Drosophila melanogaster: one gene and its partner. The protein of the gene in region 2 interacts with the protein of the main gene of each other region in a pairwise test. Each region holds a gene or a part of one and is shown on either strand. Other genes may lie near its edges.

Region 1 (3,606 bases), on a different chromosome or scaffold from region 2:
ATGGAGGATGGAATCTGTGAGTCAAGGGATTGTGAGTCTATTATTTCATTGGCTATCTTGTGCACCAGGTGCCACCTTTGTTAGCTTGTTTTGGTTGAGGAACAGCTTCATCAGCGTCTCGCACTTCTCTATGATGCCCGGAACGTCGGAGATTTGGTAGTGGGACAGATTCAGGGAGAATGCCTTTTTGTATATGGCATCCTCGCAATTGGCCAGCACGTAGTTGTTGCGGAAAAACTGACAAACCTTCTCCATGTCGCCCTTATTAAGTGTTTACTTCTGCAGCACTTGAATTTGGTTGTCTTGGGTTCCAAACTATTTCACACTCTTTGGAAAACCTACTCTGTTTTTGGCGCTAGTAGCTTAGTTTTCAGGCCTTGTCTTTTGTAGTTTCGAACTGTCGCCCGATTTGCGCGTTTTTTCGTTTGTTTTGAGTGCATGTTATATAACGATTCTCGGAGTCTATATATGCACAAAAATCTCTATTTGCTGCACTCTCTTTTGCCTGCCTTCTCTTCCCAAGCTGATGAACTAAAATTAAAAATTTCATTTCCTGGGTAAAGGCATGCGCAAAATGCTAGATATTGGCAATAGGGTAGTTCTATTTTAAAATTGGTACATTGTCGCTTGTAATGTTTGTCGCACAAGGAAAGCTCAACATTTGACATTACCCATTCTCAGCTGCTAATTGGCAAAAAGCTCGTCTTTCTATCGGTTTATATAAATAGATTGTAAATTACCGAGCCGCTCTCAGTTGAAATTGAGCTCAGTGACTGGAAACTGCATCATGAGATCGTGTACTTTACTTGTTTTCATAGTGAGCACGCTGTTGTTTGCCGGTAAGTCAAGTGTGGGAACCACTAGAACCGCCACATCCATTCAACACTCTCTCTCTATTTTTCTCCAGTGACAAATGCGCAGCAGAATTATGATGGAAGAAATGGTCCCCATGAGTTCGGCACACCTGGAAACGGCATTTACATACGGGGTCAGAACGAAGGACCCTACACAGTGCCCGAAATGGGAGGAACGTTCCAAAACTCACCCTCAAGTGGGCAGCATTCCTACACCGATGAGCACGGAAATACTTACACCCATTCCTCAACGGCAACTGTCACAAGTTTGGCCTATTCAACCTTCGGTTTCAGCATGGGCGGCGTTCTCATTTTTCTAATTAGTTTAATAACCATTTAATTGCACTTTCCAAGTGCAAAAGTTCCAATTAATTAATTTTTAACACATCGTTTTTCAGTTCACGCCCACGAAAATCTATTGCTGAAACTGCATAGATGAGAATAACCATTTTCCTTCTAAGTATTATGCACTATTATTTATTCGCTATTTCTTTTGTTCACCTTATACACAAATTATTTAGCTATTAAACAGAAGTACAACAAAGTATACTTGATTCTTTTGAAAAGTGCGCCATTTTAGTTATCGATTGGCAACAACGTAAGGGAGAGATTTAACGTATAAGAAATATTTGAAACGTTGAAGTGTGATTTTTAACTAAACATTAAAATACAATCAAAGATAATTATTGTTATAATTATTTTCATACATATTTTCAATGAAATACTTAAATGCTAAGAACGTAACGATAAACGTAAGACCCAGCCAGCTATCGATAGTTGCGGCAAAATGCAGCGCTGACTTTGCCATTCTCACAAAACGAGCCACAGGTACAACGACGAACGCGGTTGCATTACATTATTATTATTATTACTATTAAATTAATTTCCCGCTCTGTGGGTATGCAATTAAAACCCAAAGTTGAGCCCGTTCAGCAATCTTGAATTGAGTCACTGAAAAATTCACCGGAGTCCACAATAAACCATCTGTAAGATGGACCAAATGCTAAGCCCCAACTTCTCGATTCCGAGCATCGGAACGCCGCTCCACCAGATGGAAGCGGACCAGCAGATAGTGGCCAATCCTGTGTACCATCCTCCGGCTGTATCGCAGCCGGATTCGTTGATGCCGGCACCCGGTTCCAGTTCCGTGCAGCACCAGCAGCAGCAACAGCAGTCGGACGCCAGTGGGGGATCAGGTCTCTTTGGCCACGAACCATCGCTCCCGCTGGCGCACAAACAAATGCAGAGTTACCAGCCATCGGCCTCCTATCAGCAGCAGCAGCAGCAACAGCAGCTCCAGAGTCAGGCGCCCGGCGGCGGTGGGAGCACTCCGCAGTCCATGATGCAGCCGCAGACGCCGCAGAGCATGATGGCCCACATGATGCCCATGAGTGAGCGGAGTGTGGGCGGTTCGGGGGCCGGAGGTGGCGGAGATGCCCTGAGCAACATCCACCAGACGATGGGCCCCTCCACGCCGATGACACCAGCCACACCAGGTTCCGCTGATCCCGGTATTGTGCCACAACTTCAGAACATCGTGTCCACGGTTAATCTGTGCTGCAAACTGGACCTCAAGAAAATAGCATTGCATGCGAGAAACGCCGAGTACAATCCTAAGCGATTTGCGGCTGTGATTATGCGAATCCGAGAGCCCCGGACCACCGCCCTTATTTTCAGCTCCGGCAAGATGGTGTGCACAGGGGCAAAGAGTGAGGACGACTCCAGACTGGCAGCGAGAAAGTATGCGCGCATCATCCAAAAGCTCGGTTTCCCTGTAAGACAAGACTTTACATTTCCTTTCTCTTCCCGGCGAATCTCTAACGCTTTCTCTCCCGCAGGCAAAGTTCCTCGACTTTAAGATTCAAAACATGGTCGGCTCCTGCGATGTCAAGTTCCCCATACGCTTGGAAGGCCTGGTGCTGACCCATTGCAACTTCAGCAGCTACGAGCCTGAGCTATTTCCCGGCTTAATCTATCGTATGGTGCGACCTCGAATCGTGCTCCTCATCTTCGTGTCCGGAAAGGTGGTGCTCACTGGAGCAAAGGTGCGGCAGGAGATCTACGATGCCTTCGACAAGATATTCCCCATTTTAAAGAAGTTCAAGAAGCAGTCATAAATAGGATAGCGCTTTATTAGTTCTGTACGTGTACGTTTTAAGGTCGGTAGTTCTGGAAGTCTGATCATATGAGTGGGAGCAGCCTGGCGAGCAGCTCCGATCGAGAATAAACCACAAAGTAATTTAGCTGTACGGACAGGCTTTTATTATTATTTTTTTTCCGTTAATTACTATTCGTAAAAATTTAGACAAGGACTATGAACGCGAATGAGGTTCCTACAGGCACTGGGCCATCAGGGCGCCCACGTTGTCGAACTCGATCTTCTCCGTAATGTTCTTCGTCTTGATTTTGTCGTCCTGCATGGCCACGATGACGAGTCCCTGGCCCTGGTTCTTCCAGCCATTGCGCTTGATCCAGCTCTCCAGCGTCGAGTCCTCGATGCCGCCGAGCAGCTCCTTAAGCAGGTCCTTGCGAATTGTCTGGAATGTGGTGCCCACCACATGCGAGACGAACTTGCGAATTGAATCGTGGAAGCCGGTGATGTGGCGGAACATGTTGCGGTTCACCTCGGCCCGCTGCCAGAAGAGGGTGAAGTCCGCCCGCTCCAGTATGTCGGCGAGGTCGATGATTGTCTGCACATTCTCGTCCTTCATCTGCTGGGGCAGCAGCAGGCACTTGGCCATCACGAAATCCG
Region 2 (4,962 bases):
TCTATCAATGTTCCATCCATATTTTGATTTAGCTGCGTAGTATCTGATAGTCGAGGTAATCGACTAGAATTTGTTTCCTTATTGGACGATAAGAAATTTTGTACCGTAGGCAAGCTAAGTTTACATACCCTCTCAAGTAAAAACATCTCATGTAATTTTACAATATTGTCCGTATGAACGTGTGACCCTCCATGTCCCCCCATGCCCCGCCATGTCCGACCGTGTCCCAATGACGGGACTTGGCTTGGTGCGGGCTGACACGAATCTCGATCTATATGTGGATATTAGTAAACACATGTATGGAATGTCATGGAGTTCTCCTGATAATCGTGTTGGTGACAGGTAACAGCAGTGCGTTATACAGCGAAACAAGAACTATAGATTTCTTTAAGCATGGAGATGGCATATCCAGAGCCATTCCATTAAATATTCCCCCTCTAGGTAGACCTTTCTAAAAGCTATCGCAGGCAGTAACCCTCTAGTCCTCGTCCTACACAAAAACTCGAATATCAAGTGCGACATTCTGAGGGATTGTACTGAAAAACACAAGATTCACTTTGCTTTTCGCAGCCACTTTCTCATCTTAATGATCATATTCTTTCTGCAACAGCGTAAATACTTGCCACCCATCTCCAAGCTTCAAAGTGGCTTAAGTCCTGATCACGGTCGGTATACGTAAATATACGTATATTTATTTTTATTATATCATTCATTCAGCGTGGATAATTAAGTTTCGAAAATTTAATTTGAGGCATTTTATAATGAAGGGAAATTCCAAAAAGACGAAACACAAAAAAATATTCGATTTTTACTAGTCTACCTTTAAATTTTCCCACTTTGTGGTTTTCCATATCTGGGAACAGAAGCCTTGGTAAAGGTAAGTTATAAAACATATAATTAATTTGAGGTACAATGAAGTCGGTCACGGAAAGAGATTAGCAAAAAAATGTACACAATGGCATTGGTTTGTGTCCTAGAGAAATGCTGCCTTGAATTAAAATGATTCTTTAGAGTTTAAGCCATGAAAACGAATTTTCAGCCGGTTTAATCATCAGAAATACATTTTATAACGAAAATCTATTGAAAAACCATAGATTCATTTGATGTAAAAGTTTCAGGATCGGATTCTTGAAGGTGACTAAATTTGTGAGCTCAGCGTACTCTTCCTTTAATCCGTTCAAATAGTTCAAAGCCTGCATATAAAAATCCTACATTCCCATGCAGTTCTTTGGTACAAATATGACAATTTGTGACAGTACAAATCCCAAAGTTGTGGATAGTCTCTTCGAGATTATCATTAAAACGATTCTCAGCTAGAGAAAGCGCAGTTGGTAAAATCGTTTGAGTAAAACCAAGTTAAGAAGAGACTTCTGAAAATAAACATATATATATTTATAATAAAAAATGAATAATAAGAAATATATAAAAATTGATGGTTTAAGTTTTTGCTATCTGAAGTAGTTATGATTGTTTGCTACAGATTTCTGTAAAATCTGAACAACAATAGAGAAATATAGCTCCTTCAACGTTACAAAACCGTAACACAAATGTAGGTCTGAGAACTGTAATTCTAAATTGGCATTGTAGTGCTTATGTATGCCCATTTTTTCTCCAATGAGCGTTGAATAAACTATTTTTGGCTGAATAAAGTTATATTTTGATAGAAGCTGAACAAAAGTGATCGTGTTAATGGTGTTTACAGAAGTTCTATTCAGAAATATATAATTATACAAATGAAATGTACGAATATCAAAGGAATATATATTTTTTAATAAAAATCCACGTATGCCATACATGGTACAAAATTGCCAATTAAAAATATTACAGAGCCCTTTTTGTTGGACACTAACCTTCGGTACAAAACGCAATTGACCTTCCCAAGCTCCCAACCCTTGTCCAAATCTAATCGCGGATTTTCTGGTGCCAGTGGGGAGCCATGAGGCATCTTTGCTTTGTCCATCGACGGTCACACTTACGCGTGTGAAAAATGCAATTACACTCCGTCGAAGAAAATATACTTTAGCCGCGTAAACATTGCAAGCCCATAGAAATGGAGATGGAATCTGACAACAGCGACGATGAGGGATCGATCGGCAATGGATTGGACTTGACCGGCATTCTTTTCGGCAACATCGACTCCGAGGGCAGACTGCTGCAAGATGACGACGGAGAGGGGCGCGGGGGCACCGGTTTCGATGCGGAGCTCCGGGAAAACATTGGTTCCCTTTCCAAGTGAGTACACATGCTTGTACATACATATGTAAACCCGGTATCATTCAAATATATCTTAATTCACAAGATATAAGACACTTTTAATTACATTTCCATTCATATTGCGTATGGATTACTTTCAGATTGGGTCTGGATTCTATGCTGCTCGAGGTTATCGATCTCAAGGAAGCCGAGCCTCCGTCGGATGACGAGGAAGAGGAGGACGCCAGACCGTCAGCCGTCAGTGCCAGCGAAGGAATGAGTGCCTTTGATGCGCTCAAAGCGGGCGTTAAAAGGGAGGATGGCGCCGTAAAGGCTCAGGACGATGCCATTGACTACTCTGACATCACCGAGTTATCCGAGGACTGCCCACGCACTCCGCCCGAAGAAACAAGCACTTATGATGACTTAGAAGACGCCATTCCCGCCTCCAAGGTAGAGGCCAAGTTGAGTAAGTAAGACCGTAATCTACAACGGTTTGATGACATTTAATTTAACCAGTTAACACTGGTAGGAGAGGATATTGCTCAAATTTTTAAAGGTCTATGCAATTCCTGTCAAAGTGACACGATTACTTTTGCACCGCTCAGGTTGGGTTCAGACCTATTGCTATACAGAGAGAATAACTCACATTTTGTTGCAGCTAAGGACGACAAGGAACTAATGCCTCCACCAAGTGCACCAATGCGCTCCGGCTCTGGCGGCGGCATCGAGGAACCGGCCAAGTCAAATGATGCATCTAGTCCCAGTGACGATTCCAAATCTACCGATTCAAAGGGTAAAAATTATTTGAAAACAATAGAATTTTTTTGTCAATGGTCATTCCTTTAAGATGCGGATCGGAAGCTGGACACACCACTGGCAGACATACTGCCGTCCAAGTACCAGAATGTGGATGTGCGTGAGCTCTTTCCGGACTTTCGTCCCCAAAAGGTGCTACGCTTCTCCCGTCTCTTCGGACCCGGTAAACCCACGAGTTTGCCCCAGATCTGGCGACACGTGCGCAAACGCCGCCGCAAGCGAAATCAATCCAGGGATCAGAAGGTAGAAGATCAGAGTACTTTTAAACGGGACGGGATCACCAGGAAACTTTTCGTAAACCATTTCAGACGACAAACACTGGTGGTTCGGACTCTCCAAGCGATACTGAGGAGCCACGAAAGCGGGGCTTCAGTCTGCACTATGCTGCAGAGCCAACGCCAGCGGAGTGCATGTCCGACGACGAGGACAAATTGCTGGGCGACTTCAACAGCGAGGATGTGCGTCCAGAAGGACCGGACAACGGCGAGAACAGCGATCAGAAGCCAAAGGTGGCTGACTGGCGGTTCGGGCCTGCACAGATTTGGTATGATATGCTAGAGGTGCCCGACTCTGGAGAGGGGTTCAACTATGGCTTCAAGACAAAGGCAGCAAGCACCTCGTCTCAGCCGCAACTCAAAGATGAACGCCGTGTAAAGAGTCCAGAAGATGATGTCGAAGATCCAAGCATTGCGGATGATGCCTTTCTCATGGTCTCCCAGCTGCATTGGGAAGACGACGTGGTCTGGGACGGTAACGACATCAAGGCAAAGGTGCTCCAAAAGCTTAACTCAAAGACAAATGCAGCCGGATGGTTGCCCTCGAGCGGGTCGAGAACGGCTGGCGCCTTTAGCCAGCCGGGCAAACCGTCTATGCCCGTGGGAAGTGGAAGCTCCAAGCAGGGTTCGGGAGCATCAAGCAAAAAGGCCCAGCAAAAGTAATTAATTGAAAGTTGAATTCATACGTATTTTACACTAATATTTCAATCGATTTTAGTGCTCAAGCAAAGCCAGCGGAGGCACCTGATGACACCTGGTATAGCCTTTTTCCAGTTGAAAATGAGGAGCTAATATACTACAAGTGGGAGGACGAGGTAATCTGGGATGCCCAGCAAGTGAGCAAGGTGCCCAAGCCGAAGGTACTCACTTTGGATCCCAACGACGAAAACATCATTTTGGGTATTCCTGATGACATAGATCCCTCTAAAATCAATAAGAGCACGGGTCCTCCACCTAAGATCAAGATACCGCATCCTCACGTAAAAAAGTCTAAGATCCTACTTGGCAAGGCGGGTGTGATCAACGTGCTTGCGGAGGACACACCTCCGCCGCCACCCAAAAGTCCTGACCGTGACCCCTTTAACATATCCAATGACACGTAAGTCTCTTAATATAATAATGGATGCAGAATGCAGATTTTAATTCCCTTTCAGTTACTACACACCGAAGACAGAACCCACCCTACGACTTAAGGTGGGCGGTAATCTTATTCAACACTCGACTCCGGTGGTAGAGCTGCGAGCTCCGTTTGTGCCTACGCACATGGGCCCGATGAAGCTCCGCGCCTTCCATCGCCCCCCCCTAAAGAAGTACTCCCACGGGCCAATGGCCCAGTCTATCCCTCATCCTGTCTTCCCACTGCTGAAGACCATCGCAAAGAAGGCGAAGCAGCGCGAAGTGGAGCGCATTGCCTCCGGTGGCGGAGACGTCTTCTTTATGCGCAACCCAGAGGATTTAAGCGGAAGGGACGGAGACATCGTACTAGCCGAGTTCTGCGAAGAGCATCCGCCTCTGATAAACCAGGTGGGCATGTGCTCCAAGATAAAGAACTACTACAAGCGTAAGGCTGAGAAGGACAGTGGGCCGCAGGATTTTGTTTATGGAGAAGTGGCCTTTGCGCACACAAGTCCCTTCCTGGGCATCCTGCATCCTGGCCAGTGCATACAGGCGATTG

The links. The genes of interacting proteins can lie anywhere in the genome.
Region 1: the proteins of Taf1 (region 2) and Tbp interact in binary tests that used the Drosophila melanogaster proteins (3 or more experiments, as listed by UniProt).

The regions. Positions count from the first base shown.
Region 1 is NT_033778.4:21,685,692-21,689,297, reverse strand, and holds Tbp (TATA binding protein), read left to right. Parts: upstream 1-1,655; 5' UTR 1,656-1,845; coding exon 1,846-2,628; intron 2,629-2,692; coding exon 2,693-2,971; 3' UTR 2,972-3,106; downstream 3,107-3,606. Other genes in the region: CG10307 (uncharacterized protein), read right to left, coding at 1-14, 76-255; BaraC (baramicin C), read left to right, coding at 788-839, 908-1,194; eIF3k (eukaryotic translation initiation factor 3 subunit k), read right to left, coding at 3,188-3,606. UniProt on the Drosophila melanogaster protein: General transcription factor that functions at the core of the DNA-binding multiprotein factor TFIID.
Region 2 is NT_033777.3:6,644,940-6,649,901, forward strand, and holds the start of Taf1 (TBP-associated factor 1), read left to right. Parts: upstream 1-1,949; 5' UTR 1,950-2,050; coding exon 2,051-2,232; intron 2,233-2,354; coding exon 2,355-2,662; intron 2,663-2,725; coding exon 2,726-2,989; intron 2,990-3,043; coding exon 3,044-3,255; intron 3,256-3,320; coding exon 3,321-3,946; intron 3,947-4,005; coding exon 4,006-4,386; intron 4,387-4,441; coding exon 4,442-4,962. UniProt on the Drosophila melanogaster protein: TFIID is a multimeric protein complex that plays a central role in mediating promoter responses to various activators and repressors. Largest component and core scaffold of the complex.